Oryctolagus cuniculus: one gene and its partners. The protein of the gene in region 1 purifies or fractionates together with the protein of each later gene. This does not show direct contact. Links are inferred from orthologs where the notes say so. Each region holds a gene or a part of one and is shown in the gene's direction. Other genes may lie near its edges. The genes, in order: LARP7, KPNB1, RPL26, DHX9, TUT1, KPNA2 and SRSF4.

Evidence for each region.
Region 2: the proteins of LARP7 (region 1) and KPNB1 purify together in Homo sapiens (affinity purification with mass spectrometry; 3 studies listed by BioGRID and IntAct, with this or other methods). This does not show direct contact. The link is inferred for Oryctolagus cuniculus from reciprocal best matches to the Homo sapiens genes LARP7 and KPNB1.
Region 3: the proteins of LARP7 (region 1) and RPL26 purify together in Homo sapiens (affinity purification with mass spectrometry; 3 studies listed by BioGRID). This does not show direct contact. The link is inferred for Oryctolagus cuniculus from reciprocal best matches to the Homo sapiens genes LARP7 and RPL26.
Region 4: the proteins of LARP7 (region 1) and DHX9 purify together in Homo sapiens (affinity purification with mass spectrometry; 3 studies listed by BioGRID and IntAct, with this or other methods). This does not show direct contact. The link is inferred for Oryctolagus cuniculus from reciprocal best matches to the Homo sapiens genes LARP7 and DHX9.
Region 5: the proteins of LARP7 (region 1) and TUT1 purify together in Homo sapiens (affinity purification with mass spectrometry; 4 studies listed by BioGRID and IntAct, with this or other methods). This does not show direct contact. The link is inferred for Oryctolagus cuniculus from reciprocal best matches to the Homo sapiens genes LARP7 and TUT1.
Region 6: the proteins of LARP7 (region 1) and KPNA2 purify together in Homo sapiens (affinity purification with mass spectrometry; 3 studies listed by BioGRID and IntAct, with this or other methods). This does not show direct contact. The link is inferred for Oryctolagus cuniculus from reciprocal best matches to the Homo sapiens genes LARP7 and KPNA2.
Region 7: the proteins of LARP7 (region 1) and SRSF4 purify together in Homo sapiens (affinity purification with mass spectrometry; 3 studies listed by BioGRID and IntAct, with this or other methods). This does not show direct contact. The link is inferred for Oryctolagus cuniculus from reciprocal best matches to the Homo sapiens genes LARP7 and SRSF4.

What each region holds. Positions count from the first base shown.
Region 1 is NC_091439.1:52,312,684-52,317,479, reverse strand, and holds the start of LARP7 (la-related protein 7), read left to right. Parts: upstream 1-1,731; 5' UTR 1,732-2,017; intron 2,018-2,175; exon of another isoform or gene 2,176-2,503; intron 2,504-4,796. UniProt on the Homo sapiens protein: RNA-binding protein that specifically binds distinct small nuclear RNA (snRNAs) and regulates their processing and function.
Region 2 is NC_091448.1:23,995,402-23,999,593, forward strand, and holds part of KPNB1 (importin subunit beta-1), read left to right. Parts: intron 1-923; coding exon 924-1,076; intron 1,077-3,382; coding exon 3,383-3,442; intron 3,443-4,017; coding exon 4,018-4,107; intron 4,108-4,192.
Region 3 is NC_091448.1:52,826,288-52,830,992, reverse strand, and holds the start of RPL26 (large ribosomal subunit protein uL24), read left to right. Parts: upstream 1-1,621; 5' UTR 1,622-1,754; exon of another isoform or gene 1,755-2,091; intron 2,092-2,466; 5' UTR 2,467-2,471; coding exon 2,472-2,639; intron 2,640-3,492; coding exon 3,493-3,633; intron 3,634-4,705.
Region 4 is NC_091444.1:1,034,168-1,038,359, forward strand, and holds part of DHX9 (ATP-dependent RNA helicase A), read left to right. Parts: intron 1-1,305; 5' UTR 1,306-1,327; coding exon 1,328-1,438; intron 1,439-2,308; coding exon 2,309-2,449; intron 2,450-4,192. UniProt on the Homo sapiens protein: Multifunctional ATP-dependent nucleic acid helicase that unwinds DNA and RNA in a 3' to 5' direction and that plays important roles in many processes, such as DNA replication, transcriptional activation, post-transcriptional RNA regulation, mRNA translation and RNA-mediated gene silencing.
Region 5 is NC_091432.1:8,967,562-8,971,753, forward strand, and holds part of TUT1 (speckle targeted PIP5K1A-regulated poly(A) polymerase), read left to right. Parts: intron 1-3,257; coding exon 3,258-3,573; intron 3,574-3,753; coding exon 3,754-3,854; intron 3,855-4,192. UniProt on the Homo sapiens protein: Poly(A) polymerase that creates the 3'-poly(A) tail of specific pre-mRNAs. Localizes to nuclear speckles together with PIP5K1A and mediates polyadenylation of a select set of mRNAs, such as HMOX1.
Region 6 is NC_091448.1:13,984,377-13,987,636, forward strand, and holds the end of KPNA2 (importin subunit alpha-1), read left to right. Parts: intron 1-648; coding exon 649-798; intron 799-2,301; coding exon 2,302-2,394; 3' UTR 2,395-2,626; downstream 2,627-3,260.
Region 7 is NC_091438.1:142,561,339-142,565,530, forward strand, and holds part of SRSF4 (serine/arginine-rich splicing factor 4), read left to right. Parts: intron 1-1,805; exon of another isoform or gene 1,806-3,045; intron 3,046-3,584; exon of another isoform or gene 3,585-3,694; coding exon 3,695-3,868; intron 3,869-4,192. UniProt on the Homo sapiens protein: Plays a role in alternative splice site selection during pre-mRNA splicing. Represses the splicing of MAPT/Tau exon 10.

The sequences.
Region 1 (4,796 bases):
AATTATGATTTTAGTACTACTTATGAGCTATTTAGAAATTAAAGATAAATTCGCCTATTTTCTTACATTAGAGGTATTTCTGGGATTTATAATGTAAAAGGAACTGAGAAGGGTCAAACTCTCTATGATGGCAAAAAGAGCCTTTGGGATTACGCCTAAAAAAAACTAGGGCCGGTGTTGTGGCACAGCAGGTAAAGCTGCCACCTGCAATGCTGGCATCCCATAAGCACTGGTTCGTGTCCAGGCTGCTCTACTTCCTATCCAGCTCCCTGCTAATGGCCTGGGAAAGGCAGTGGAGGATGGCCTGGGTGCTTGGGCCCCTGTCACCAATGCGGCAGACACAGAGGAAGCACCTGGCTCCTGACTTTGGTATTGCCTGGGTTGGAATCCTGGTTCCTCTTCCAATCCAGCTTCCTACAGGTGTACATCCTAGCAGGGAGTTCAAGTAATTGGGTCTTTTGCAACCCATGCAGGAGACAAAGATGGAGTTCCTGGCTTCCAGCTTTGGTTTGGTCCAGTCCTGGCCAACATCAGAGGGTGGAAGATCGGTTTGTGTGTTTGTCTTATCTTCTAAATAAAAAGATATTAATTTTTTTTCTTAGTGCTAATCTGTCTACATTTGTCAGACAATTCAAGTGGTGACCCACTTCCTAATCCGTGAAAGATAAATCAGCAAATAACTTTTTAAAATGATGTGGAGATTCCAAATGTTCAGTGATAATTATATATGCACATACACACAGATATATTATGGTGCTGTTATATTACATATGCAAAACTGGGTGTTCTCAGTTTTTAAAAATGAGCCATTTTCCAGGGCTGTGGTACAGAAAGTTAAAGCCCTGGTCTGCAGGACTGGCATCCCATATGAGTGACGGCTAGAGTTCCCGCTGCTCCACTTCCGATCCAGCTCTCTGCTATGGTCTGGGAAAGCAGTAGAAAATGCCCAACTCCTTGAGGCCCTGCACTCTATGGGAGACCCAGAGGAAGCTCCTGGCTCCCAGCTTAGGATCAGCTCAGCTCTGGCTACTGTGGCCATTTGGGGAGTGAACCAAGCGGATGAAAGACTATCTCTGGCTCTAGATCTTTTTGTAGCTCTTTCACATACATACAATAAATCGTTTTTTTTTAATGAGCCATTTTTCCTGTAAATTACAAGATGTTTCTGGTTCCCATGTTTTTGAACAAGCAGTATGTTTCAAACCTAAACTCCTTAACGGTTCAAACTTAAAAGTTTCAGAATACGAGCTCAACATCCTATTAGGAAACCAACCAGAACAAACAACCAAAGGAAATCCACACGTCATTTGCCAAGATCCTAATAAATCTGAGCCGTTGTTTTGAAGGACAATAGAGATAGACTTTAGGGTCATGAAAACAAACAGCAATACCCCTCTGGTCCTCACGGGCAGGCGGAATTGCAAAACAAAAGACTTGAAGAGGAGACACCAATTACCACGGGCGGTCCGGGCAAGCTGCGCCTGCTACCGCCCCCATCTCGGCCCCAAACAGCATTCTTCCCGGTCCGCTTCTGCGGAACGGACTCTTTCGGCCCCTAATCCTAAATCGCTCAAGTCCCCTTCACTGTCCACCCTTCATTTCCCAGATACCCCGAAAGCCACTTCACCTCGTCCCACTGCACAAAATCCACTTTTCGAATTTCTCCCGCGAAAATTTAGTGACGTCATCAAACCGGGACCACACCGGATGAAGACCCAAACTGAGGCCGCTCACCCCGCCTCACCTAGAACCGCCATTTTTAACCCGCCAATCAAAATCTTCATTGGCTTCCAGCCGCCTCGGCAGGTCGCGCTCTCCGATGTCCCGCCCTCCTGGAGCCAGCCCTCGCGTGTGACGTAGGCGGCGGACGTACGGCCTCCGGGCCCGTCTTTCTGAAGAGGATGAGAGTGTGGTGTCGCTTATCCTATGACGCGCAATAACCACGACTTTAAGCATCAGGAGACGGAAGGGGCTGAAGGACGCCGTCGCTGACGCTGTATTTTTAGAATTGAATCGAGTAAGTTGCAAGTGGCCCCGAAGTCGCGTTCATTGAGTAGTGTTAATCCTCAGTCTCTTTTCTAGCAGCTCATTCTATCATGTGTCGGCTATCTCGTCCCGCCCCCTCCCACGCTACCTTGGGTTCGCTAGGCCTAGTTCTCTGTGCGCACGCGCAGAAGTCCTCTGCTAGCTCTTGCAGTTCCAGTGTGCGGAGAGTGGGGGCGCATAGCGCCCGGCGTTGCGAGGTTTGGGGCACGCCCAGCGCTTGCCGGCGTCTGTAAGGAAGTACGGGTGCCGAGAAGATCAGTAGGTGCTAGGGAAAGTGCTTTATTTTGCCAATTGGAGTTGAAGTTTGTCTGCCAAAGGATAGCGAATGTGAGAACTTGTGTTCTAAGTCATTTTCTTTTACACGACTCTAGTTTTCTCCTCGAAGAGTTGAAAATCTAGTTGTGAGAAGGACCTAGCAATGAGTGCTAAGTACTGCATACCAAAAGCATTCCTAGAGGTACTTGGGGAAAACAAATCGAGCAATTGAGGAGGAGGTAGCGGTGGAAGTTAAGATGCCACCTACCCTGAGCCTTGAAAACCGAATAGGGGTTTATTAGACACAGGAGTTCTTTTGAAAAAGTGATAAAAGTTACGCATCAGCTTCCCAAGAGAATGTGCATATACTTATCAAAATATTTTCTGTTTAATTTTACTAGGAAATGTGTGAAAGACTTCGAAATGGCAAAAAAAATAATTACTTGGGGTCTTGTTTAACTCCTCCGAGATATCAATGCCTTTTATTGTCATTGAGCTCTTTTACAGTTGTGTAACTTGTAGAAAATGATAAATGGAAATCAGGTTTGTCTAGTGGAGATGTAGTTATTACCTCGCAGTTTAATGAAGTTCGGAAAAATGTTTATTTACTTGAAAGGCAATGGGACAGAGAGTGAGAGAAAGAGATGTTTTCCATCCTCTGGTTCACTCCCCAAATGCCAAGGCTGGACTGGACCAGGCCAAACACAGGAACCGGGAACTCCATCCCGGTCTCCCCCATGGGTAGCAGGAAGCTGGAGGTGGGACTCCGTCCCAGGCCTCCAGGATTAGGAATGTCTAAGTCCCACTTGGTGACTTAACTCACTGCCCCACAATGTAACTGCCAAGTTCACAAGAAGCCTTGCGTGAGGGGCAGGACTTTGTCCAAGCTGATCAGATGCTGCTTGAACAGCATCTTAACTCCTGTCAGATCTCTTGGGTTTGAGTCCCAGCTCTTCCCCTTCCTATCTAGCTTCCCGATTAGCACATCCTGGCACCCTGGAAGGCAGCAGATGGTAATTCAAATAATTGGGTCTCTGTCACCACATGGGAGGCCCCAATTGAATTCCTAGCTCCTGACTTCAGCCTTGCCTAGCCCCAACTGTTGCAAGCATTTGGAGAGTGGACCAGCAGATGGAAGAGATCTCGCTCTCTCTGGCCTTTGAAAGAGAAAGAAGTAAAGGAAATTGTAATCACCTAGATCTAAAAAGAAAGAATTCCTGGGTCAGAACATAGCATGCTAGTAACAAATTACAAGTGGCTCTACTGAAAGTAGGAATTAAGAGTCAAACAGACTTGGGCTCACTTACCCAGCTGGTTTTAGCCAAGTCACTTAACCTTTGAGTTTCTGTGAAAATAAACTACCTAGTGGGTTTCTGAGGCTTTAGAACAATGTAGAGTAACTGGCATTGTTACACAGTAACTTATTCTTTGTTTAAAGCCTATATTTAGAAGCCAGATTGGTTGGTTTTCTTTTTTTTCTTTTAATGCATGTCATTGAAAAGTGCCAAAGAATTTCTGATGTTGGGGTTTGACATCAATCTCAGAAAAACGAATCCATTCCAGACAAGTTACACATAGGCTTCTGTGTATGGCTGCTAGGATACTTTATCAAATGTTATCTTGTTACTAGTGACAGTAGTGGAAAATAATGAATGGATAGATGGAAGGAGGAAGGAAGGAACAAAGGAAATGAGAAGTCAAATTGATAGGATTTAGAGTGCTAAATCATGATAATGATTACATGTTATTGAGTATGTTCTGTAAAGCAGCAATTTGAAGTGCTTCATTTCCATTATTGTGATTAATCCTCACAACAGCCATATTATGTGGTTATAATTTTTATCCATGTTTTATAGGCCATAGATGAGGTAACTTGCTCAAAATCTGTGCAGCTAGCACATAGCATCATTTGTTAGCTTGATAGAATAGGTATCCTTAAGTAAGAGCATGGTGGTAAAGCAGGCCTGGGGAGGAGAGTTGGAGACTTGGAATGTGTGGAATCACAATATATAACTCTGATTTTCTGCAGTCATTGTTTGGGAAAAGTAAATTTAACCATTTCTTATATCACTTTCTGTTTAGTCTTTGTCTTTTAATTGAAGATATATTTCATCAGTCTGAGCTTAAATACTGTAAGACACAAAAATAATCCTTTTAATAAGAAAGAAGGAGTCTTTGGGCTGAGCTGTGAAAATGGAGGGGAAAGTTTTCTGGGAGAATTGTGACTTATGTGCATGTGCAGCTCTGTCCACTGCTTCTTAAGTGGTGGCTCAGACAAGGAAACTAGTTGGAAAACAGGTTGTCTGCTCCTTACGATTCATTGTTGACACTGGAGCCTGCTACAGTGATAATCATAGACTACACTTGTACCTTTTTAAAAAAAAAAAAAAAGATTTATTTCATTTATTTGAAAGGCAGAGTTTACAGGAAGACAGAGAACTTGCATCCACTGGCTGACTTGCCACATAACCTCAGCAGCTAGAGTTGGGCCAGTC
Region 2 (4,192 bases), on another chromosome or scaffold:
CTGCAAGAGCTGTAGCTGGTCCTGGCCAGGACCCCAAGCCAGGAACTCCATCCAGGTTCTCCCATGTGGGTGGCGGGAACCTAAGTATTTGGGTCATCTGCTGCTTCCCAGGTGCACATTAGCAGGAAGCTGGATTGGAAGTGGAGTCGGACTCAGTCCCGAGGATTCCTGTATGGAATGTAGGCATTCTAAGTGGCAGCTTAACCTGTTATGCCATGATACCTGCCCCACAGAGACAGACTCCCAAATGTCCAGAGCCGCCAGTACTGTGCCAGACTGAAGCCAGGAGCCAGGAACTCCGTCTGGGTCTTTCACATGGAATGGCAGGGGCCCAAGCACTTGGGCCATCTTGCACTGCCCTCCCCAGGCGCATCAGCAGGGAGCTGGATCTGAAGCAGAGCAGCCAGCGCTCGAGCTGGTACGCCTGTGTGGGATATGGCATCACAAGTGGCGGCTTAGCCTTCCGCAGCACAGGATCAGCCCAGCACAGCATCTTAGATGTGGTCCTCTGAAAGGCTTGCTGCTGCTAAGGTTAGAACCCTTGCTGTGTGCTGGCTTAGAGAACCAAGATTTTATGCTCAGGTGTTGGTGCTTGGCGCCCATATTCTGCAGCTTTATGTCATTTGGTACATATGGCCAGGAAAACCCAGCAGACTGCCATCTCCATGTGCACAGAAGAGGAAGAAGCCCAGAGTTGAGATGCCAGTAAGTCAGAGATGAGGTTGACTAACTTGTTTCAGTTCCATTGTGGACTACCAGTGCCATTGAATATTTTGCAGGTGATTTGCAGTGCTGTCCCCACATGGAAATGAGTGGAAAATGATCACAAAGTCAGGAGACTCAAGTGGATTTTGTAGTTAAAAGGACTGCTGATTAGCTGTGATCTCTTTATTATAGTCATTGCACTTCTCTGCTTGTTCCAGGACCCAGAGCAGCTGCAGGATAAATCCAATGAGATTCTGACTGCCATAATCCAGGGGATGAGGAAAGAAGAGCCTAGTAATAATGTGAAGCTCGCTGCTACCAATGCACTCCTGAACTCACTGGAGTTCACCAAAGCAAACTTTGACAAAGAGGTAAGTTTCTTTTGACAAAAGGTTTAGATTTGGAGGGTGTTTCTCCATGAAGTTGATAACTTCGAAAGCACCACCTTGTTCAGGAGCCTTCGTTTTCGCTCTTGATGAGATTTGGATTGTATGGGATGCAGCCATGGAATAGGTGTTTGCCATTTTTCGTCAGGCTCTTATAAATAATGTTATTCAAGTGTTTCTTAGCTTAGTTCAAGTGTGAGAATAATTTGGGATTAAAAAGAAGACTACAGCAATTGCACTGTTTCATATATCCTTCCGGAGGATGCTTTTGAGAACGCTATTTTAAAATAGTATACGCTATTTTAAAAGAATTATGTGTTTGAAAGGCATAGTGACAGAGAAAGGGAGAAACAGATGATCTTTGATCTGCTAGTTCACTCCCCAAATGGCCGTAGCAGCTGGGACTGGGCCAGGCTGAAGACAGGAGCCCACGTTCCATCTGGGGCTCCCATTTGGGTAGCAGGGCCCTGAGTATTTTGGCTGCTATGTGCTGTCTTTCAGGCACATCAGCAGGGAGCTGGATTAGAGGTGGAGTAGCCAGGACTCAAACTGGTGCTGCAGTAAGGGATATAAATGTTTTGCCTTGGGCCGGCGCTGTGGTGGATTGGGTAAAGCCACCACCTGCAGTGCCGGCATCCCAAACAGGCACTGGTTCGAGTCCCAGCTGCTCCACTTCCCAATCCAGCTCTCTGCTTGGCCTGGGAAAGCAGAAGAAGATGGCCTAAGTCCTTTGGCCCCTGCACCACATGGGAGACCTAAAGGAAACTCCTGGCTCCTGGCTTCAGATTGGTATAGCTCCAGCCATAGTGGCCGTTTTGGGAGTGAACCAGCAGATGGAAGACCTCTCTCTCTGCCTTTGCCTCTGCCTCTCTGTAACTCTTCCTTTTAAATAAATAAATAAATCTTTAAAAATAAAATAAAATAAATGTTTTGCCTGAAAATACTTCCCCTGTTTATAATGTGGTAAAGTCTGTATAGCAGAATTTGCCCCCCTAACCATTTTGCAGTATCTAATTATCTTCACCTTGCTGTGGAACCAGTCGGCAGAACTTTGTCATCTTGTGGAACTGAAAGTGGATCATTGAGTACCAGCTCCTTTCCCAGCCTCTGGCCACCAGCGTTTCTCTGTGTTTGCTCTCATACTTCATAAAAGCGGGATCACACAGTGTTTGTCTTCTGTAGCTGGTTTATTCCACATACCATGATGCTGGAGGCTCATTCATGTTGTAAGGCTGACTCATGTTCAGGAACTCATCTGGGTCTCACGTGGGATGGCAGGGGCCCAAAGATATACAGATATACCACATTTTGTTTAAAATCATCCATTTGGGTTGCTTCCACATTTTGGCTATTGTGAATAATGTTTTTTATTTTATTTTTTATTTGAGAGGCAAGAGTTAACAGAGAGACAGCTATCTTCCATCCACTGGTTCAGTCCCCAAACGGCTGCAAAGGCCGGAGATGGGCCAATCCAAAGCCAGGAGTTAGGAGCTTCTTCTGAGTCTCCCACACAGTTACAGAGGCCCAAGCACTTGGGGCCATCTTCCACTGCTTTCCCAGGCCATAGGCAGAGCGAGCTGCATTGGACAGCTGGGACATTAACCAGCATCCATATGGAAGTGGAGGCTTAGTCTACTGTGCCACAGTGCCAGCTCCAATAATGAGGTTTTTAACATGGTGGCAGATTTCTTTTGAGACCTACTCTCATTCTTTTGGCGGTGTATCCATGAGTAGACTTCATGGCTCACAGGGTCTGCAGGTAATTTTGGGGGTATGCTTGTTTTTGCTGGTTTTTGGCCTTGTGTTGGAAAGGTATAAGATGACAGAGCAACCTTTATTTCTAATTGATTAAAAAACAGGGCTTTCCTTTTAAATTTCAGATGTAGAAAGGTAACAAATGAGGTTCTTCACTCTGTTCTCCCTTTTCTCCTGACATTGGATGGAGCTTAGCCATCTTGCAGAAAAACACATTTGGGGGTCTCTAAAATAAAGCAGATGTTTTGCATCCTCTTAACATCTTTTTGTGACCTACGTTTTCCTGTCTACTTCCTGAACTCTAGTTAGTGAAACTCAGTTTGTGGATTCAAAGATTTGGGACTTCTTAAGGGCAGGTTCTAGCAGACCCTGGAGGTGAACTTCATGGCCTTCTCCAGGCCACCACTGTTCAAGTAGGAGTTGCTGATGATGCCAGGCTGTGTGGACCCAAGGAGATGAGAAGTTTTATCTGTAGAGCCTAGGAATTTTCCTGTGCATAGTTTTTGCTTCCCTGATTATTTTTATTATTCTTGCAGTCCGAAAGGCACTTTATTATGCAGGTGGTCTGTGAAGCCACACAGTGTCCAGATACGAGGGTAAGTGTGAGATCCTACAAAAAATCTGTTTTAAGTCTTCCCTATGAAATGCCAACTCTCACATACAGTTTGAGATACTAGGAGTCAGACTAAAGAAATAAGGTTTGCTTAATACTAACTAGATTACTAACAATTTTTCTCCAACATATTGGAGAAGAAGGAATAAAAGTAGTCGTATACTACCTCAAAAGTTATTTGGAGGTTGCTGTCCTCTTAAAGGTTTACTTTCTTGCCCTAGGTTGTCCGAGTGATTGTTCAAATATAGCCATTGAAACAGGTTTAGCTGTTGCCCTAATCTAAGTGCGACTCCTAAGCAGGTGAAAGTGACACATTCAGTTCGAGTAAGCACCAGTGAGTTTAGCTCTGTGTGTGTTGCACAGGTGCTTTTAAAGCAAAGGGAAGGACTAGAAAACTGGAGGGAGGGATCATGAAAAATGGAGGGCAGATAGCTTTGGGGAGCAGTGACAGACAGCACTGTCATGTGTGCTTCCATGAACCTTCAGATCACTGACTCAGTTGAGTGAATCTACATTTGTGTCATTATTATTTTAGTAAACCATTTAATCTCTTTAAAGGTACGCGTGGCTGCTTTACAGAATCTGGTTAAGATAATGTCACTGTATTACCAGTACATGGAGACATACATGGGTCCTGCTCTTTTTGCAGTAAGTATTTTGATTTTATGTGATTTGCATTTATAGCTGATTGCAGAGCCCATCATTCTCATTGCCGTTTGGTTCATTCTGTAAT
Region 3 (4,705 bases), on another chromosome or scaffold:
CCTGCTAATGTGCTTGGGAAAGCAGCGGAAGATGGCACAAGTGCTTGGGCCCCTGCACCCACGTGGGAGATCTGGAGGAAGTTCCTGGGTCCTGGCTTCAGCCTGGCCCAGCCCCAGCTGTTCACCTATGGGGTGAACCAGTGGATGGAAGATTGTTCTGTGTCTCCCTCTCTCTCTGTAACTCTACCTTCCAGATAAATAAAATAAATCTTTTTTCAAAAATAACTTTTTTAAAAAAAGATTTACTTATTTACCTGAAAGGTAGTGTTACAGAGGGAGTGAGACACAGAGAGAGATCTTCCATCAGTTGGTTCACTCCCCAGGTGCTGCAATGGCTGGTGAGGGGCTGATCCGAAGCCAGGAGCTTCTTCCATCTGCTGGTTCACTCCCCAAATGGCTGCAACAGCTGGGGCTGGGCTAGGCTGAAGCCAGGAGCCAGGAACCAAGAGCTTCTTCGGGGTCTCCCACATCGGTGCAGGAGTCCAAGCACTTGGGCCATCTTCCACTGCTTTCCCAAGCATGTTAGCAGGGAGCTGGATCGGAAGTGGAGCTGCCGGGACATGAACCAGCACCCATATGGGATGCCAGCGCTGGAGACAGTGGCTTAACCCACTACGCCACAGTAACAGCCCCACCAAATGTTTGTAAATCATCAAAATTCCTATTCTCCACAGACAGGACTCTGGGCCCTCAAGGATACTGTTTCTTTGACTTAACCCAGTGGGCTCCTACGATGTGGGGCCATAGAGGGAGTTGCCGGAAGGGGCTGGGGAGCCACCCTGCACAGGCGCCCTGCGACCTTGCACAAGTGTCACACCTCTCGGTGACTCAGCAGCTCCAGGTGTAACATGAGGACAATAATAGCAGCATCAATAGGGCTATTTTGGGAATCCTAGGAGTGGATGATGTAAAACACACAGAAGGGTGTCCCTAGCACTCGGCTAGCTCATTGCGTCTCGGTGCCCTATTACGAAACGTGTGTCTTCTGTCATTAGGACACCATTCATTCCAGAGAAACCACGCCCTAGCCGCGACGCCGCCGGCTCGCCCTACTGCAGCCCACCGCAGCGTCCCTGTGCGCGGGGGCGCACCCCTTCCCCGCCTCCCACAGATCCGGAGCTGAACCACGAGGGGCAGAACGTCCGGACAGGGGCCGTCCGGCTCCTCCCAAGTCAGCGCCGCCACTCTCGGCATCACCCAGGAGTGGGACAGCAACGCTGCTTCAGACCCGCTTCTACGAAGTGGGCTGGGGGCGATCAGGGGCTCCAGCCTTGGGCGTGGGGGCGGCGGGGCGCCCGGCTGGAGCTAACTAAAGGACCTGCACGTTTACACACCCACGTCATTGGCCTGGGCGGGGACCAGGGAGCCCAGGTGACCGGTCGGCCGGGGTCCCAGCGTCACCTGGTGGCCAGAGGTAAGGCCTGTCCTTGCCAGGCTAAGAGGGCGCCAGCCGCCGTGCAACCAGGAGTGCAGGGACGGGGTCCCCTGGGGCCGCCCGCTCCTTCGTCACTCGCCCCGGAAGTCAACAGCAACCCGGCCTTGGAAGGGAGACCTGGAGGAGGGTTTCACAGTCCCTTGCAGTTTCCCTCCGAGCCGCTAGGTGACACTAGACATCCACTTCTCCCAGTTTTCTTTCGACTCCGCGCCCCTCTCTCGCCGAGACATCAATCTCGCGAGATCGCTCGGAAACTTACAGAACCGGAAGTATCGTGTAAACCTTTTCCCTTTGGTGGCCATCGCCGGAGCGGCAGCTGGTGAGGGTTTCCCTGGGAGGCGATTGCAATCCACGCTCATCCGTTCGTGGGCGCGTTGGCTCTCGGATTCGGGGGCCCCGAGACTCTCCCACCAGCCGCACAGCAGCCAGGGAGGGGGTTTGGGGTGGCTTCTGTTTGATGCTTAGCTCAGGGACCACAGAAGGCGAAGGGGAGGGGGACAGGGGATTTGGGGACTCGGAAAGCGGAGCAGGAGCGGAGGAAGTCTAGGAATTGAAGTTTCCTAGATAACTGTTGGCAGTGAAGTCCACGCACAACCGCAGGCCGCGCTCGCCTCTAGGAGGGTCTTTGGGACCTGCGATCTGTGCAGGATTTCCAGGTGGGGGCAGGGTGATTTGGGGGGCGCCAGGTGTTCACACTCAAGTCTCTCGAAGGTGAACTTTGGTCCTTCCAAAACCTGATGTTACAGTTGAAAAATGGAGTTGTCGGTCATCTAATATAAAGAGTTTGGGGGGATGTAGACAGAAAGTTTAGTGATTAAAGCAGCTGTGTTAATGGGGCGCTCTCTCTCCCCCAGGGACATATAGAAAATACCCCAGTGGAGCGTTGTTTCTATTGAGCCTTTAGTCGACCGGCCGTTCAGCTCTCTGGTGTAACTGATGTCTGTGGTCTGAGTTTTTAGGGGGAAGTTGTTGCTGCTGTTTGGGAAGCGTGTGAGGTTTTAGTCATTGGAGGTTCTTAATTCTTCACACAGCCAAAATGAAGTTCAATCCCTTTGTGACTTCTGATCGGAGCAAGAACCGGAAAAGGCATTTCAATGCCCCTTCCCACATTCGCCGGAAGATTATGTCTTCTCCCCTTTCCAAAGAGCTGAGACAGAAGTACAACGTGCGATCCATGCCTATCCGAAAGGATGATGAAGTGCAAGTATGTATTCCTGCTGTCCGGGCGGATTTCAGGATGAGTCGAGCCAAAAACACGTTGCTTTTCAGTTCCCTTTTTATTGGGTGAAAATCCGTTTTCTCAAGCATCAGCTCCAGTCATAATAAAAGAGGCAAATTATCCAAACGCACCAGCAGAAGGTTCCTTGGGAATTAGCCTTTTCTCAGTATGTTGGATCATTGTAAAGGCATTTGAGGGCCCGAAAAGTTGCTAAGAATCTAGACTCAGAATCTCTTTAATGGAACACCATAGTTCCATTAAAGATTTGTCACAGCTACTCACATCTCCAGTAGACCTTGGAAGCAATTGAGTGTTTTGTTTTCAGGATGTAGCAATATAAGGAGGTCAGGAACTGGAAGGAAACGTGTTCAGAAGCACTTTGGGTTGGTTCTAACAAGCCGAGTGATGGCTAGGACTCCTGGATAGCAAACTGCTCACCTTTGCGAAAGAATTGGTTTGTTCACTTGTGTGTTTGTTGGAGTCCACTCTTGCCTGGCATTGAAGTGGGCACTTAACTAGGTTGTGAATTAGACTTGAGGCCAGTTCTGCTTTTGAGACAAAATAACAAGGTCCTTGTTAACTTCCTACAGAAACCCAAAGTGGTGGCTTCTTTTCATCCTTTAAATAAGCCTCCCCCTGCTGGTAGCTGTCAGCTGTAGGGATGCACTGTCCCTCTCTGTAGACACCTGGGGGCATGGTTTAGCTAAAACCAGGGAGCTAGAATCTTAATGTCATTAAGTCGTTCAAAATTGAAAGCTCTTAGAGATTTAATTCACTATTTCCCTTGTAATGATGATCTTGTTTTTATCTGCTTATTCCTGCTATTTTTGAATTTCAGGTTGTGCGAGGACACTACAAGGGTCAGCAAATTGGCAAAGTAGTCCAGGTTTACAGGAAGAAATACGTCATCTACATTGAGCGGGTGCAGCGAGAAAAGGCCAATGGCACAACTGTCCATGTGGGCATTCACCCCAGCAAGGTGGGTGTTCTGAGAACGCTTGAAACAGAAGGAAGTGAGCACAGTTATTAGCAGGTGTGACTGCTTGTTTACAGACAGTCGCAGGGAAACAGTCCCTGATTTTAGATGTGCTGGGAATCTTGTAAAGCAAATTCTGTATTTGTTTTGAAAATTCAAATACTACTTAAAATGTTTCTGAAACCAAAGTGTCTTTAACAGTTGCTCTGTTTGTATATTTAATGTATCTTTTTCCAAAAACTATGGGAAACCTGGCAGATGAACAGCCTTAGCAATTTATAGATCCTAAAATTTAAAAATAAGATCATTATTAGGTGAATTGGAGCCTTAGCGCTGTTCGTTTTTGTGTATCAGAGTGAAACATTAAGGGTGCATTACAGCCCTGTGAAGTAGGTAGGGGACCATTTATATACAGGGAGAGACCCTGCGGCTCTGAAGTCGACCAGGGGTGGTTATTGCATCTAAGCCAACATGGAAAATTGGTCTAATTCCCATCCAGCAGATGCTTTCCATGGTTTTGTTTTTTGACAGAGTGGACAGTGAGAGAGAGAGACAGAGAGAAAGGTCTTCCTTTGCCATTGGTTCACCCTTCAATGGCCGGCGTGCTGCGGCCGGCGCACCACGCTGATCTGATAGCAGGGGCCAGGTACTTATCCTGGTCTCCCATGGGGTGCAGGGCCCAAGCACTTGGGCCATCCTCCACTGCACTCCCTGGTGACAGCAGAGAGCTGGCCTGGAAGAGGGGCGACCGGGACTAGAACCCGGTGTGCCGGCACCACAAGGCGGAGGATTAGCCTAGTGAGCCGCAGCGCGGGCCTTCCATGGGTTTTTATGTGAATTCTCCCTAAAGCTAACAGCTAATGCATAGTGATGAGTGTTGAAATACTGGAAGCTTTTGAGGGGGTTATTTGTTTTTTGAGATCTTAACATTGGTGCTGTAAGTGTAATTTTAAATAAAAATCAAAAGGTAGTAGAGCAAAGCACCTACAAATGTTTTTTACCTAGAATTCTCTATCAAAATTCTGCCATATTGATGTGTTTGGTTTTTTTGTTTTGCTGCCGTCCCACCCACCCC
Region 4 (4,192 bases), on another chromosome or scaffold:
TCCTGGGCAATTTTTTAAAAAGATTTATTTATTTGAAAGAGAGGAATCTTCCAACCACAGGTTCACTCCGGACAGTTGAAATGGTGATGGCTGCAGTGGCCATTGCTTGGCCAGGCCAAAGGCAGGAATTTTTTTTTTTTTTTAAGATTTTATTTATTTATTTGAGAGGTAGAGTTAACAGACTGAGAGGGAGAGATAGAGAAAGGTCTTCCTTCCACTGATTTACTCCCCAAATGACCGCAACGGCTGGAGCTGCACTAATTCGAAGCCAGGATCCAGGAGTTTCCTCCAGGTCTCCCAGGTGGATGCAGGGCCCCAAGGACTTGGGCCATCTTTTCCTCCTTTCCCAGGCCATAGCAGGGAGCTGGATCAGAAGAGGAGCAGCCAGGACTGGAACTGGTGTCCATATGGGATGCCAGCCCTGCAGGCGGAGAATTAACGCACTGTGCTGCAGTGCCTGCCCCTAAAGGCAGGAGCTTCATGCAGGTCTCCCACATAGCTGCAGGGGCCCAAACATTTGGACCATCTCTGCTTTTCCTAAGCCATTAGCAGGGATCTGGAAATGGAGCAACTGTGACACAAACTGGTGCCCATACGGAATGCTGGCGTCACAGGCGGCGGCTTTACTGCTATGCCACAACACCATTGTAAATCAGGATATTTTCTTGGGTGTGTTAATATTCTCAAGTCTTTTATCTTGACAGTTGATAGTCATTTGAAATTTGTATTATTTTCATGTTTTCTCACTGAACTTCAGGGAGAAAATGTGTTCTGGTTTTCAGTGGAAAACTGTTAAAGGATTCCAGAAATAATGAAATTAAAATTGACTAAGTTAGCTGTATTAACTAAATCATTTGCCATCAGGTAATTTATCTTTTGCAGTCTGAAACTGATGAGATTTTTAATAGGTTCAGAATCTGCTCAAATATAGAAGTTCAGCCAAACAGCTTCAGTAAAAGAATCTTGAAAAGTACAGAGACGACACCTATCCTTCATATCATAAAAGGAAATCTCTCCTGATTTATAGTCTAGGAAAATGCTGACCCTCCTGTGTGCTGCTACCAGCAGAAGCTGGGTTCTCCTGGGACCCAGGGCAACACATCCATTTGTGGCGCGTTGCCCAGTTGCCCAGACGCTGTCCTGGACTGAGGCCTGATTCTGCTGGTTCCTTCTTCCTAGACAATTTTAATTGCATGATAGATTATACTGTACTTAATTTGGATTCTCAGCAGTTTACAATTTTTGCAAATACTATGCTGTTTAACCAACTTTAGTGGGGTTTTTAGTTGTTTTTCGTTTTTTTAGGTTTGAAGAACACACCTGAATCATGGGGGACGTTAAAGATTTTCTGTATGCCTGGTGTGGCAAAAGGAAGATGACCCCATCCTATGAAATTAGAGCCGTTGGGAACAAAAACAGGCAGAAATTCATGTGTGAGGTACTGAAGAGTATTGTCTACTTATGAAGCTCAATTTGGGATTAAGAGCATTTTGTGTTAAGAAATGTGTATTGCACGTTGAAGAAGAGCAGTTCTTGTTTTTGTTTTTAAAGATTTATTTATGTATTTGAAAGGTATGAGAGGCGGCAAGAGAAGTCTTCCATCTAATGGTTCACTCCCCAGATGGCCGCAGTGGCCATAGCCATAGCTGGGCCACATCGAAGAAAGGAGCCAGGAGCTTCACCCAGGTCTCCCACATGGGTGCAGGAGCCCAAGCACTTGGGCCACTTTCCGCTGCTTCCCCAGTCTCATTGGCAGGGAGCTTTAGTGGAGCCAGAGCCTGTTTGGGATGCAGGTGCGGCAGGTGGTGGCTTTACCCACTACACCATGGCACCAGCCCCCAGAGTAGTTCTTTATTGTTATTTGATGGCTATTCTGTTCATCAACAATCTGGTGGTAAATTATTCTAATTGGAACCTGGAGTTTTCTCAGTACCAGTAGGATGAGTGCAGAAGCTGGATCAGTTTGCAGTTCTACTTCTTTAGAAAGTGGAACCCTTGATTGCTAAGTAAACACAGATGGAGAGCTGCTGTTGGATGTTATAAAGTTGGGTTTTATTCTGGAACCTTTTATTATGTGCAAAGAGATCAGCTGTATAAGTTGATTTGGATTACTTATCATTGGACAATACAGTTCAGCCTTTTTCATAAATTTATTCCATGGAATCTCTTAGCTGTGCTAGTTCTGCTATAGTCATAGAATATGTTTCGAGAAGTCAGCTATTTGTTATTTCTTAATAACTGAATTGTGTATTTTTAAATCCTGGAGTACCCCGGCAGATCTCTTGATACACCTTTTTTTGGCTTCAAGGTCCGAGTGGAAGGATACAATTACACTGGCATGGGCAATTCCACCAATAAGAAGGACGCGCAGAGCAATGCCGCCAGAGACTTTGTTAACTATCTGGTGCGAATAAATGAAGTCAAGAGTGAAGAAGTCCCGGCTATTGGGGTAAGGACTTGTGGCCAGGCATTTTATTTGTGTGTTTTTTTGGGGGCGTGAAAAATAGTTTCCCTCTACCCTTCTAAGTTCTTGGGCTGTGTTATGAGTTAAATTAACATGACAGATTAACAGAGGAAAAGGATTACAAATTTATTACAAGCAAAGGGTCATTGCATGAAAAAAAAGGAATGTTTAAACCCGACAGGTTTAGAAGCTTACACGTGAGTTCCTTGATGCTTGGTGTACATGCAATGCAGACTGCACGTGAGTTAGAAATGCTCACTTTTCTGTAGACTGTAGGTTTCTCGGGATGTGATACCACCATAAGCTGAGGAGGATCTGTATTCTCTTCTGAGGCTTCAGAAGAACAGGTGATAGGATGGCTGGGTGGGTGTCAGCCTCTAATTGCCTGTCTTAGGGATACTGTTAATCTTCCCAGGTTGATAGGTTTCATTCATTCATTCATGCAGCAATTTTTTCATTGTCTAGTAATACTCTAAACTTTCAAACACAACATTTTTAATGAAAAAAATTAGTAACATTTTAATTTTTTTAAAAAGAGAGTGCTTCAATCTACCTTCTTACTCCCCAGATGCACACAATGCCCAGGCCAAAGCTGAGAGCAGGTACTCTATCCAGATTTCCCATGTAAGTGGCAGGGTCTGAATTAGCAGGAAGCTGGAGTCAAAACAGAGCTGGATACGGAACTCTCATACAGCACATCAGTGGCTCTTATCTGGTAGGCCAAATACCACTCCAGTGTAACACTAAGTAGAATGTAAAATTTAGCAACTTTTTTTCAAAGATTTATTTATTTGAAAGAGTGACAGATGTCTTTTATTGTCTAGTTCACTCCCCAGATGCCCACGGCTGCCTAGGCCAGGCCAGGCAGAACTCCCATCTGGGTCTCCCGTGTGGGTGGCAGGCACCTAAAGTACCTGAGCCAGCGTCCTCTAGCTCCTGGGTGCATTAGCAGGAAGGTGAATTGGAAGGATAGATTAGCCAGACTGCAATATGGAATCAAACCTCCCAAAGGGGCTTAACCAAACCCCTTGTGCCACAGCACCACCACCAAATCAGCAAGATTACATACATGTGCTTCCATTAACAATTCTCATAGAGCAGAAAGTAAGCTGTATTTTGTGCAATGGAGTATCATATTTTTTTTTTTTTAGTTTATTTATTTATCTGAAAGAGTTGAAGAGAGAGAGATCTTCCATCCACTGGTTCACTTTCCAAAAGTCTGCAATGGCCAGTATTGGGCCCAGCTGAAGCCAGGAGCCAGCAACTTCATCCAGGTCTCCTGTGTAGGTGCAGGGGCCCAAGGACTTGGGCCATCTTCCACTGTTTTACTGAATGCCTTGGCAGGAAGCTGGATCAGGAGTGGAGTAGCTGGGACTTGAGCTGGCACCCATGGAATCCCATATGGAATGTTGCAGGTGGTAGCTCAACTCCCTATGCCACAGTGCAGGCCCCTCATCTTTTATGCCATAATTAATCGTGTAGCTATGCAGCACATACCCCTCTTGTATTTTTTGGTATTTTGCTTTTAAGATTGTTTATTTGAAACGCAGAGTTACAAAGAAAGGTCTTCCATCTGCTGGTTCACTCTCCAAATGGCTGCAACGACTGGAGGTGGGCTGATCCCAAGCCAAGAGCAAAGAGCTTCTTCCAGGTCTCCCACATGGATGAAGGTGCCAAAGGACCTGGGCCGTCTCCCACTGCTTTCCCAGGCCATAACAGGGAGCTGAA
Region 5 (4,192 bases), on another chromosome or scaffold:
TTTTCATTACTGTACCTTTAGTTATCTGAAAAAAACTCACTGTTGTGTTGTTGGTCACATTGTGATTCTGAGGCTGCACTGTGGGTATGTAGGTGTGGCTTGGGTGATCCCAAATATCCTTAAGCAGCCTAGGCCCTTCTTTTAGGTTCGGGGTGGGTGGGCTGGTTTTTGTTAGGACTGTATTGAGTAACTCTACTACAAATGGCTTAAAAATAATCTAGCTTTTCTCATGTAACCAATAATCCAGACCTTGGCAGTCCTGGGTTGTGCAGTTTTCCTGCTGCTCTGTCATTATTATTGGCACACGGTTCTTACCTCATAGTTGTGCAACTGCTGCTTACCCATCTTTAGGCCGAAGGAGGCAGGTTGAAGAGTATGATGTAGAAGGCCAGTGCCAGCTGAGTGTAACTCCCACTTTTTTTTTTTTTTTAATTTCTGAGGAAAAACTTTCTCCAGAGGGCTTTTCCCCGTGTTATAGGCAAGCTTGGGAAATTAAGCATTTTTAGCGGGCAGTTTGCCTCTCAGCAAAATCAGGGTTTTGTTAGTAAGGAGGAAACGAGAACGTGTATTTGATGGGTACTTGGCAGTGTCTGCCCCAGGTTACTTCTTTGGGAAGTTCAGTGACCTTGTGTTTGTTGATAACTTATTTAATTTGCAATTAATGATCTTGTCCTGAAGTTAAACCTCAAGTTTCTGAGGGTTCTAATTATTATAACAATGATGATTAAAATTTTTCCATAATTACTATGCACCAATTATGTACTAAGTATTTTACACACACTATCTCATTTAATTTCCACCATTCTTGAAAAAAAAAATCATCAGTGAGAAGTTGGGCATTTGGAAGTTTAAGGTCTTACTTAGGGGGGCCAGCGCTGTGGCGCAGTGGGTTAAAGCCCTGTCCTGAAGCGCTGGCATCCCATGTGGGTGCCGATTCTAGTCCCGGCTGCTCTTCTTCCCATCCAGCTCTCTGCTATGGCCTGGAATAGCAGATGGCCCAAGTCGTTGGGCCCCTGCACCTGCGTGGGAGACCCAAAGAAGCTCCTGGCTCCTGGCTTTGGATCAGCTCAGTTCCAGCCATTGCGGCCATCTGTGGTGTGAACCAGCAGATGGAAGACCTTTCTCTCTGTCTCTACCTCTCTCTGTAACTCTGTCTTTCAAATAAATAAAATAAATCTTTTTAAAACAAAAAAGATCCTACTTAGGAAGCAGTGACAAGTACTTAGTGTCTTGGAGTTAATTTCCTAACTTGTAAAATGAAAATAACAATATATATATATTTTTAAGATTTATTTATTTATTTGAAAGTCAGAGCTACACAGAGAGAGGAGAGGCAGAGAGAGAGAGAGGTCCTCCACCTGATGGTTCACTCCCCAGTTGGCCGCAATGGCCGGACCCGTGCTGATCCGAAGCCAGGAGCCAGGAGCTTCTTCCAGGTCTCCCATGGGGGTGCAGGGGCCCAAGGACTTTGGCCACAGCAGAGAGCCAGATCGGAAGTCGAGCAGCCAGGTCTCGAACCGGCACCCACATGGAATGCCGGTGCCCTAGGCCAGGGCATTAACCTGCTATGCCACAGCACCGACACCAACAATATATACCTTATAGGAGGCTTAGGAGCCTTTGAGATAGTTTATGTGAACTTCTGGCTTTATAATGAGCATTCAACGAATGGTAGCTCTAGCTGAGGCAGGTGGTGTTGAGAGGAGAAGAATGTTGAGGGCAGTTGCTTCTGGGTCTGCTAATTCTGGCTTCCCTGATGCTGTCAGGTTCTTGAGAGAAAGGTGCACAAGGACAAGGATAGGCAAAGGGACAGCTAATTTCTTTCTTATTTTTTTTTAAAAAGATTTATTTATTTATTTGAAAAAGAGATCTTCCATCTGCTGGTTGATTCCCCCGAATGGCCGCAACAGCCAGGTCTATGTCAAGCCAAAGGCAGGAGCCAGGAACTCCATCTAGGTTTCCCACAAGTAGTCGGGCCATCTTCTGCAGCCTTTCTTGACAGGTTAGCAGGAAGCTGGATCAGAATTAGAGCAGCCATGGCTTGAAACAAGCACTCCAGTATGGGAAGCCTTTTGCAAGTTGGGGCCATAACCCACTGGGCCACCACATCAGCCCTGACACCTAGTTTCTAGCTGGAGCTTTGGTTGCAAACTTGATGCTGAAGTGCAGGCTGGTGATTCTGCTAAGACTTGCCTAGGCAGGTCCAAAGAGTGGTTTGTCCTTGGCTTCACTTTCGTTCTTTGCTCTGACATAAGGGTAGATGTAAGTGTAGGGTTGGTAGCTTTCCTTTCTTAAAAATTTGAGAATCTTACACAGCATAAAATATACAATTCAGTGAGCAGGCATTGTGATGCAGAGGGTTAATCTGCTGATTGGGACACCTGTATCCCATGTCAGAGTACTGGTTCACATTCTGCCTGCTCTGCTTCCAGTCCACTGCTTCTCCCTGCTAATGCTTCTGGGAAAGCAGTGGAAGGTGGCCTGACTGCTTGGGCCTCTGCCACCCATGTGGGTGACCTGGATGGAGCTCCAGACTCCTGGCTTCGGCCCGGCCCAAGCCTTGGCTGTTGCAGCCATTTTGGGGTAAAGCAGTAGATGGAAGATCTCCCTCTGCCTTTCAAAAAATAATAAAAAATAAACTTTTTTTTTTAGAAAACAAAAGTTAGGGAGTAGATATTAGTATCTCCTGTGAAATGATAAAACTGGGAAGAGTAGGGGATGATAAAATAGGCAAAATGGGATTTTCAGAGGCAGATTAGGGTGACAGAAATGTGTTGGTTAAGAGTGAGGGAGAGAATTGTTTTTCTTTTTTTAAAATTTATTTATTTGAAAGGCAGAGTTACAGAGAGGTAGAAAGAGAGAGGAGAGGAGAGAGAGAGAGGGGTCTTCTAGCCGCTGTTTCACTCCCCAAAAACCCTAATGGCTGGAGCTGGGCCAATCCAAAGCCAGCTTCTTTTGGGTCTCCCATGCAGGGGCCCAAGGACTTGGACCATCTTCTACTGTTTTCCCAGGCCATAGCAGAGAGCTGGATTGGAAGTGGAGCAGCCGGGACTTGAGCTAGTGCCCAGAGGGGATGGTAGCACTGTAGCAGCGGCTTTACCCATTGTACCACAGCTCGGCCCTGAGAGAATTGCTTTTCTAAATATGTTCCCTATTAATGAAAGCATCATCAAGATAGTATTCCCATGTATGAGGTATTCCACTGCTGCACCACAGGTTTGAATTTTTGGTCCAAACCGTCATGCTTTCTCTGCTAGGGAGTGTTTGCCATCGTGGAGATGGGGGACGTGAGTGCTCGGGAGGCTGTATTGTCACAGTCCCAGCACAGCCTGGGAGGACACCGCCTGCGCGTCCGGCCACGGGAGCAGAAGGAGTTCCAGAGCCCAGCCTCCAAATCCCCCAAGGGAGCAGCCCCTGACAGTCAGCACCTGGCCAAGGCACTGGCTGAAGCCCCAGATGTGGGGGCACAGATGGTAAAGCTCGTGGGGCTGAGGGAGCTGTCTGAGGCCGAGCGACAGCTTCGGAGCCTGGTGGTGGCCCTGATGCAGGAGGTTTTCACGGAGTTCTTCCCGGGTAAGTCACCTCCGCGACTGTGTCCGAAGCCTCCTGTCCTTCCCTCCTCAGTGTCTGCATCCCGGTGTCACAGCTGGAGGTGTTTACCTGACTGCTCTTCCTCCTGGGCACTCCTTTATGGTCTTCCACCCCTGCTCCTCCCTAATGTTTCTTGACCTTTATTCTCTGCTCGGCACCCAGGCTGTGTGGTCCATCCTTTTGGCTCTTCCATAAACAGCTTTGATGTCCATGGCTGTGATCTTGACCTGTTCTTGGATCTGGGTGACATGGAAGAACCTCAGGTGAGTGACGAGGGGGCAGCTGGGAAGAGGCAGTGAGAATGGTCATGTGACAGTGGGCCTTAGTTTCTCATCTGCAAAATGGGTATAATAGGACCTCTCTGAAAAGGTTATTGCAATTGGAGGAATGTGAATATGGTTAGGCATTAGTTAGGATGAAAATGAATTGACACAGAATAGATGACAGTTATAAGAAGAAATCTGCCTCTGAAAATCTCATTTTCTCTATTTTATTGTCTCCGTCATTTCATAGGTTGTACTATGATGTACCACGTTTCTTTCTTTTTTTTTTTTTTTTTTAAAGATTTATTTATTTTGGGTCTGGTGCTGTAGTGTAGTAG
Region 6 (3,260 bases), on another chromosome or scaffold:
AGGAGCAGCCCAGACACAAACTGGCGCACACACCTGCCATCCCCTCCATCCGTAGCCACTAGTGTAGGCTCAGCCTATTGCGCCACAGCACTGACTCCTCTAAATGCCCATTCTACCACACTCTTCCTAGGGATTATAAGAGGCATGTAACAGGTGATTAATGAATGACACGACTTTAATTGAAGTCAAGTCTTGAAGTGAAAGCTATTCATACTACTTATTTTGTCAGGTATATTTAACCCCCCAATTTCATGCTAAATTTTGGTGAAATTAGCTATATTTTTCTCGTTTGACCTGAGGATGATTTAACCCTGCCGGCACATGGCATTTTGCCGTAGTGATTGGTACCAACTTCTAGATCTGGTTCTGGAAATTATTACATGTTGAAGCTGGATTCAGAATAAGGAAGGCTGGTGTCTATCGCCATCTGTAAATTATGAGTGACTGGTTCTCCCACCTTCTCTCATGTACCTGCTACATTGAGTTTCAAAAAAAATATAAAGTGGACATAAGACTATCATTAGGATTGTTAAAGAAACTGTTAATGTGCATTCCTGTCTGATATATGAAAGCTTTGATATGTGTATTTTCATTAAAATAGAACCATCAGAGAATAAACCAGTAAACTGGACCTTTCTTTTCTTTTAGGCTGCTGAGAAATTAGGTGAAACTGAGAAACTTAGTATAATGATTGAAGAATGTGGAGGCTTGGATAAAATTGAAGCTCTTCAAAACCATGAGAATGAATCCGTGTATAGGGCTTCATTAAACTTGATTGAGAAGTACTTCTCTATAGAGGTGAGCTACTGTTAATAACAACTTGGAAAATACACATGTATGGGCAAACTATGAGATGTTCTTTTTTTCTCTTTGTACTTTAAGTGAGTTCCATACATTTAAAAAAATTTTTTTATAAAGATTTATTTATTTGAAAGAGTTACATAGAGAGAGGAGAGGCAGAGAGAGAGAGAGAGAGAGAGGTCTTGTATCTGCTGGTTCACTCTGCAGATGGCCACAACGGCCAGAGCTGAGCTGCTCCTAAGCCAAGAGCCAGAAGCTTCCTCCAGGTCTCCCATGTGGGTGCAGGGGCCGAAGGACTTGGGCCATCTTCCACTGCTTTCCCAGGCCATAGCAGAGAGCTGGATCGAAGTGGAGCAGCCGGGACTCGAACCAGTGCCCATATGGGCTGCTGGCACTGCAGGAGGCGACTTTACCTGCTACACCACAACACTGACCCCAATTTTAATGTTTTTGAGAGAGAACTATAAGCTGGTTCATTCCCTAAATGCCCATAATGCCTGAGTCTAGGCCAGGCTGAAGCTAGAAGCCAGGAGCTTAAACAAAGTCTCCATGTGGGTGACAGAGACTCGAGATACCAAGCCATTACTGCCTTCCCCCAGGGTGCATACTAACAGGAAGCTAAAATCAGGAGTTAGGGCCAGGATTTGAACTCCTAGTAGCTTTTTTTTTTTTTTTTTTTTTTTTGACAGGCAGAGTTAGGTCTTCCTTCCGTTGGTTCACCCCCCACATGGCCGCTATGGCCAGTGCACTGCCCCTATCTGAAGCCAGGAGCCAGGTGCTTCCTCCTGGTCTCCCATGCGGGTGCAGGGCCCAAGCACTTGGGCCATCCTCCACTGCCCTCCCGGGCCACAGCAGAGAGCTAGACTGGAAGAGGAGCAACCGGGACAGAATCCGGCGCCCCAACTGGGACTAGAACCCGGGGTGCCGGTGCCACAGGCTGAGGATTAGCCTATTGAGCCACGGCGCCGGCTGAACTCCTAGTATCTTAACTGCTAGGCCAAACACCCACCCCCTGTACCCTTGTTCAGTATTGCAAAATGTCAAAAAAATATATTTAGGACTTGCCCATATAATATTTGGGTTGATGATATTTAACCTGAAATTTTAAAAGTCACTAGTTTACTTTCAAATGAACAATCTTGGGAATCGGAATATCTTTAAAGTTTATGGTTGTCATTGTAGGGATTCTTGGAGAAGTGGGTGAACTCTGATCGTAGTTGGCTCTCTTTCTACTGACAAGTGGCAGGTGGAACAGAAAAATCTCAATTTTGCTTGTAGTAGCATTCTTTAACCCACTCAGAACTGCTTCTCCCAGGCATTCCTGACTTGTCCGGGTTTCAGCGGCCCTTCCCTCCTCCTGTGTCAGACAGAAAGAATATGGTCTCAGGGTTGAAGGTGGGTGTGCAGCTGTAAACTTTATGAGCAGGTCGAGACTTGAGGCATGCTACTGCTTAGAAATGTGCCATATTTATGGGGTCACGTTGCTTTTTCATGTTTCAGGAAGAGGAAGATCAGAATGTTGCGCCAGAGACCACCTCTGAAGGCTACACCTTCCAAGTGCAGGATGGGGCGCCGGGCGCCTTTCACTTCTGATCGCACTGCTGAGGCACCAGTCATTTTGTTGTTTGTCTTACTGTTTCTCTACTAAGACCTTTTTTTAAATGTGGTTTGTTATTGTAGCACTTTTACAACAAAACTATACTTGAACAGTTCCAAACTGTACATACTGTATGAAGCTTGTCCTCTGAATGGGTTTCTTACTTCTGTGGAATTTCGTATCTTACAGTGTCCTGTAAATAAAGATAAAATTCCACCCCTTTCTTCACCTGGTGTGTGTGTTGTTTTCTAATTCGGAGCTCTAATGTTGCAGATGAAGGGTCCGTGGCAACCAGTCAGTGGGGCCAGTCCTGACTGTAGGAGGTGGGGTGTGGATAACTTTTCTTCCGGATTCCGAGTCTCTTGGTTTGGTGCTAAGCTGCTGCTTGTCCTTTTGGTACTTAAACACCTGATATCTGTTTGCTAAAGCTGGAATCAGAAGTTTCACAGAAAGAGGAGTGAAGTTTCCAGAAGTCCTCAGCCAGTGTTTTTAGGTTTCACTGACCAGGGAGATGGGATAAAAATCTTAAATTTAGTCACGCTCCTCCTGGAGCTACAAGTGGGAATCGTTCCTCCCAAGTGAGACCTGGTGCTACATTGGCATCACCTGGGCACGGTTACCCAGGAGTTCTGGTTCATTTGTTGTAAGACTTTTTTTTTTTTTTGACAGGCGGAGTAGACAGAGAAAGGTCTTCCTTTTGCCATTGGTTCACCCTGCAATGGCCGCTGCGGCCGGCGCATCGCGCTGATCTGAAGCCAGGAGCCAGGTGCTTCTCCTGGTCTCCCATGCGGGTGCAGGACCCAAGCACTTGGGACATCCTCCACTGCACTCCCGGGCCACAGCAGAGAGCTGGCCTGGAAGA
Region 7 (4,192 bases), on another chromosome or scaffold:
AGTTGAGAGGCAGAGTTACAGACAGAGAGGGAGAGTCAAAGTAAAAGATCTTCCATCTGCTACTTTACTCCCCAAAAGACCACAACAACCAGAGCTGAGCCGATCCAAAGCCGGGAGCTTCTTCCAGGTCTCCTACACGCATGCAGGGGCCCAAGCACTTGAGCCGTCTTCCACTGCTTTCCCAGGCTATCAGCAGAGAGCTGGATTGGAAGAGGGGCAGTTGGGACACAAACCAATGCCCATGTGAAATTCAGGTGCCACAGACTGAGGCTTGGCCTACTGTGCCACAGTGCCAGCCCATGTGATTGAGTCTTTATGAACTTTATTGTGTCATCAGAGAATAGTTGACCCCCTTTTTTTATGATACCTGTTATTTACAGTAATGTTTATAAGCGTAAGAATATTAAAATGGATGTAGGTATGGTTATATTTAAAAAGAGCAAACATGTTCGCTTTAAAAATATAGTTAATTATGATGGGGAGTTATGATTATGATAGTGTGATTCATAAGCTGTTTACAAGTACAGATGTATTTTGCTTTTTGGGTAGTCTCACTTTATGGAATAGTAATATGGCTCCTGGTAAAAGTGAAACAGTTTAGCAAACAGGTTTGGGCTAGTTGAAACAAATCGGCAGGTAGGCTCATAGAACAGTTACAAAGAAGACGGTGCTCTCTGGTGGCTTCCTTTCTGCCTCCTCTGCTACCAAGAATGTTGTTTTACTAGTTAGTTTTTAGTGTAATGATTTTACTCCATGTCCCTCACCCAGTGAGTATTTGTAGTGTAGAATCAATGCCGTGGGCCTGAGTTTGATTGTTGCTTCATCATTAGAGGTTTTCCAGTGAATTAATTGAAGAGAAGGAGAAATGATGAGTTTTCCACTAATTCATTGGCTGAAATAACAAGTTTCCTAATGATTCATTTCCACTAGTTTCTTAGTTCAGACTAAATATTCACAACTTAATTGCATTAGCAAAATAGGGTGCAGAAATGATACTTCCTTGTCATTGAGTATTTCCCTTAAGATTATAATATAGCCACATCAACATTTATCTGATGAAACTGATTTTCTGTGCTCCTAGAGCTTGTGTTTCTGCAACCTCGGTCTCAGAGCTTCCTTCCTTCCATTGGTGTTAGGAGACAGCAGATCCTAGTGGTTGGATGTAGGCTTTAGGTTAGCCCCTGGGTTTGAAATCTCTTAGGTGTTTAGGTAATCTTGGCAAGTTACTCAACTGCTTTAAGTGTTAGTTCCTTCATCTGTGAGATAAGAGTAAGTCTCAGAGCTGTGAAAATTGACTATGATATGTGCAAAGCATTTAGTATAATGCTTAATACATAGTAAGACTTTCGAAAGCAGGAGTGATTATTATTAAAAGGATTTGAAGTGTAAGAGTCTAGCAGGCTGGAGTAACCGTGTTAATAGTTGTTTGGAATTAATAAAAACTAAGATTTAGATGCTTCTCATATGCAAAGTACTTTTCTGGTTGCTGCTGTAATCCTTGTGTAGTTGCAAATCTGAAAAGCTTCTAGTATTCTTTGATTTCTGGCCCATCATTCTCCACCATTCATGCTTATATTTTTTGGTCCCAAATCACCATTCCTTATGAAACCAATCAAATGCATTCTTATGTGCGTGATGTTGTCAGTATCCATCTACATCTACCATGTCCAGGTCCAACTCTATCTTCTCTATGGTGGTCTAATTTTTGCTGAGCCTTAGAGCCAAAGACAGACTCTAGGGGTTGATATGGGACCTCCAGGATGGGGATTGCACAGAATAATCTTATTTTTCCTCTATTCTTCTAGTCTGTTATGTTCTGAACCCACACATGTTTTCGGAAGGACCAGATGGCTGACACTGGCTAATGGGAACCAAAAGACAAGAGTGAAAGTAACCTGGTTGTCACATACCCCCACCTTAGAGGTGCTTCACCCTGCCCCAAGGTCAATTCCTTTTTCCCTGGAGACTTCACCCCGCTGTGTCAAAAAACTGTACTACAGCATGGCTTATCTGAGGCTAGAGCACCACTAAGGCAACTACATTTGTCAAATGAGAAAAGACTGTACTCGGGACCATGGAGAGAAGCATCAGCCTGTAAAAGGCAGTGAGTGAGCCTTACGTTTTCCAGTCATGGATCTGAGTTCAAATGCAGCTCCACCACTCCTTAGCTTGGGGACAAAAAGCTACTTGTTTAGCCTCTCTAAGCCTCAGTTTTCTCATTATAAAATGGAAATAATAATAATAATATATTCATATTTGATATGAGGAATCAATGTAATATTATGGATAAATTATTTACCATGTGCTAAATACCCAACATGCACTAGCTCTGTTGTTATTGAAGAGCTCATAATCAAATGAGAAGGCAGGCACAACGGAAAGAACAAGGCTTGAAGAGCCACAAAAGCATGCACGTAAAGCATAAAATTGAAATGCTAAAATGTTTGAACTCAGGCAGTTTTCTAGGGACTCATGAAAAGAGGTAAACTCTCAGACATGGGAAAAGATTGACGTGATTTAACTTGTGTAGTCAGGTGTTCCAGGTTTAGAGAATGAATTTAAAAAGTTCTTCAGGGGTCATTCTAGATGTCTAAGCAAAAGAATGATTTAGCTGAGTTTCGCTGATATAAAGGGACACATTGATTAAGTAAAAATAGCTGCATCCTAGAATTACATCTGTTGGTCAGACAGGTAGAGACAGCCCTGAGTGCCCAGCAAAATGAGAAAACTGGAACTTGTCAGTAGACCCAGTTCGAAACCCAAGAGAACTTGTCAAAAGCGATTTCAAGGTTGTTGGGAGTGAATTAGATGGTTAGGGGATCCAGAAGAGAGAAATCATGAGGTAGGTTTTCTTCTTTGAAGGTGGGGAAAGATCAAGTGCAGACTGAGCTGTGGCCAACGTGTGCAGACCAGGAATCCACACTAGCTCTAATCAGAAAGCTCTTGGTGTGCGGAACTGCCAGTTTGCCGACGTGAAAAGAGCCCCAGACTGGGTAATGGTGAGCCCTGAAGTCGCACCCCAGCTCTGCCACTCAGTGAGCACGGGTAAGTCATCCACCTTCTCCGGGTGGCCTTGATGGCCCTCCCTCCTTTGAGGCTAAAGAAAGGGAGGCCAGAATGCCCAGAGCAGCCTCCTTCCCATCTCAGGATAGGCAAGGGTCTCAGGAGCCTACTCCTGTGTTTGCAGCTCCAGTAGTGGGTTATAAAGAACCCTCCGGCACTGGGAAAGTCAACTGCAACCGTAATCACTGGCCCTGAGCGGTCGAGGCGGCATCTGTTAATGCTGTGAGGGCCCCACGCTGCCGGTCCCCGAAAGCTGCCTGCCTTTGGAATCGGGAGCAGCTACACCGTTACGTTCACGTGCCTCACGTGCGCATGGGAGTTGGTTGCAGACGTGTCTTTCTATGTTCTCCAAGCACTTGCCTTAAGCAGACAGTGAAAATTACTGTTTTTATTGCCATCCTGTCCATGTGTCCTAACTTTTTTCACCTCCTAAGACCAAGTTGGTTGAAGTGTAGGACCAACACTGAGTGCTTTGACAGAAAGCTGTTTGATTCCTGTTCACTGAATGCCATTTCTTTCAGGGCAGACTTAAGGGCCCTGCCCTTAAAATACAGTGCTACTGACTCTAGATTGAGGGTTCAAGCCACCCGTGGGTTAACTTCAACAGATGAACATTTTTCCTTGGCTACAGCAACATCCCTAAGCCTGACCAGCCATGGAGAGGTTCGGTTCTTACCAGGAAAATGAGTGAATGTGGGAATGGCTCACCACATTGGGAAAACAAAACACATCCTGCTGATGGTTGGCTGAGGACTGTCATGTCCACATACAAAGAAAAAGCATGTGGCACAGTTTTAGGACAAAGGTGAGCAGAGATCCACCGTGGAAAGGGGCACATTTTTCTTTTAGAGAGAATATGGAAGGCATGCCCCTCGGTAAGCAGCGTTGGTGGGTGACGCAGTCACACGCATGGAGGCTTGCTTTCCCTGCTCCTCATGTCCACTCCCCAGCAGATTCTGGTGGCGCACCCTGGTCACCTGCCCGTTAAGCCACTGACCGGCCTGTCTCCAGAGCAAGTCCTGCTGCTTGCTCCTCGCTGTTGACAGGGTTCTCCAGTCTCCCTGCTCAGGGCAGGTGTGTGGAAGACAGAAGAGCCTGCACTGTTCTGAAAGGGGGAGTCAATTCCACA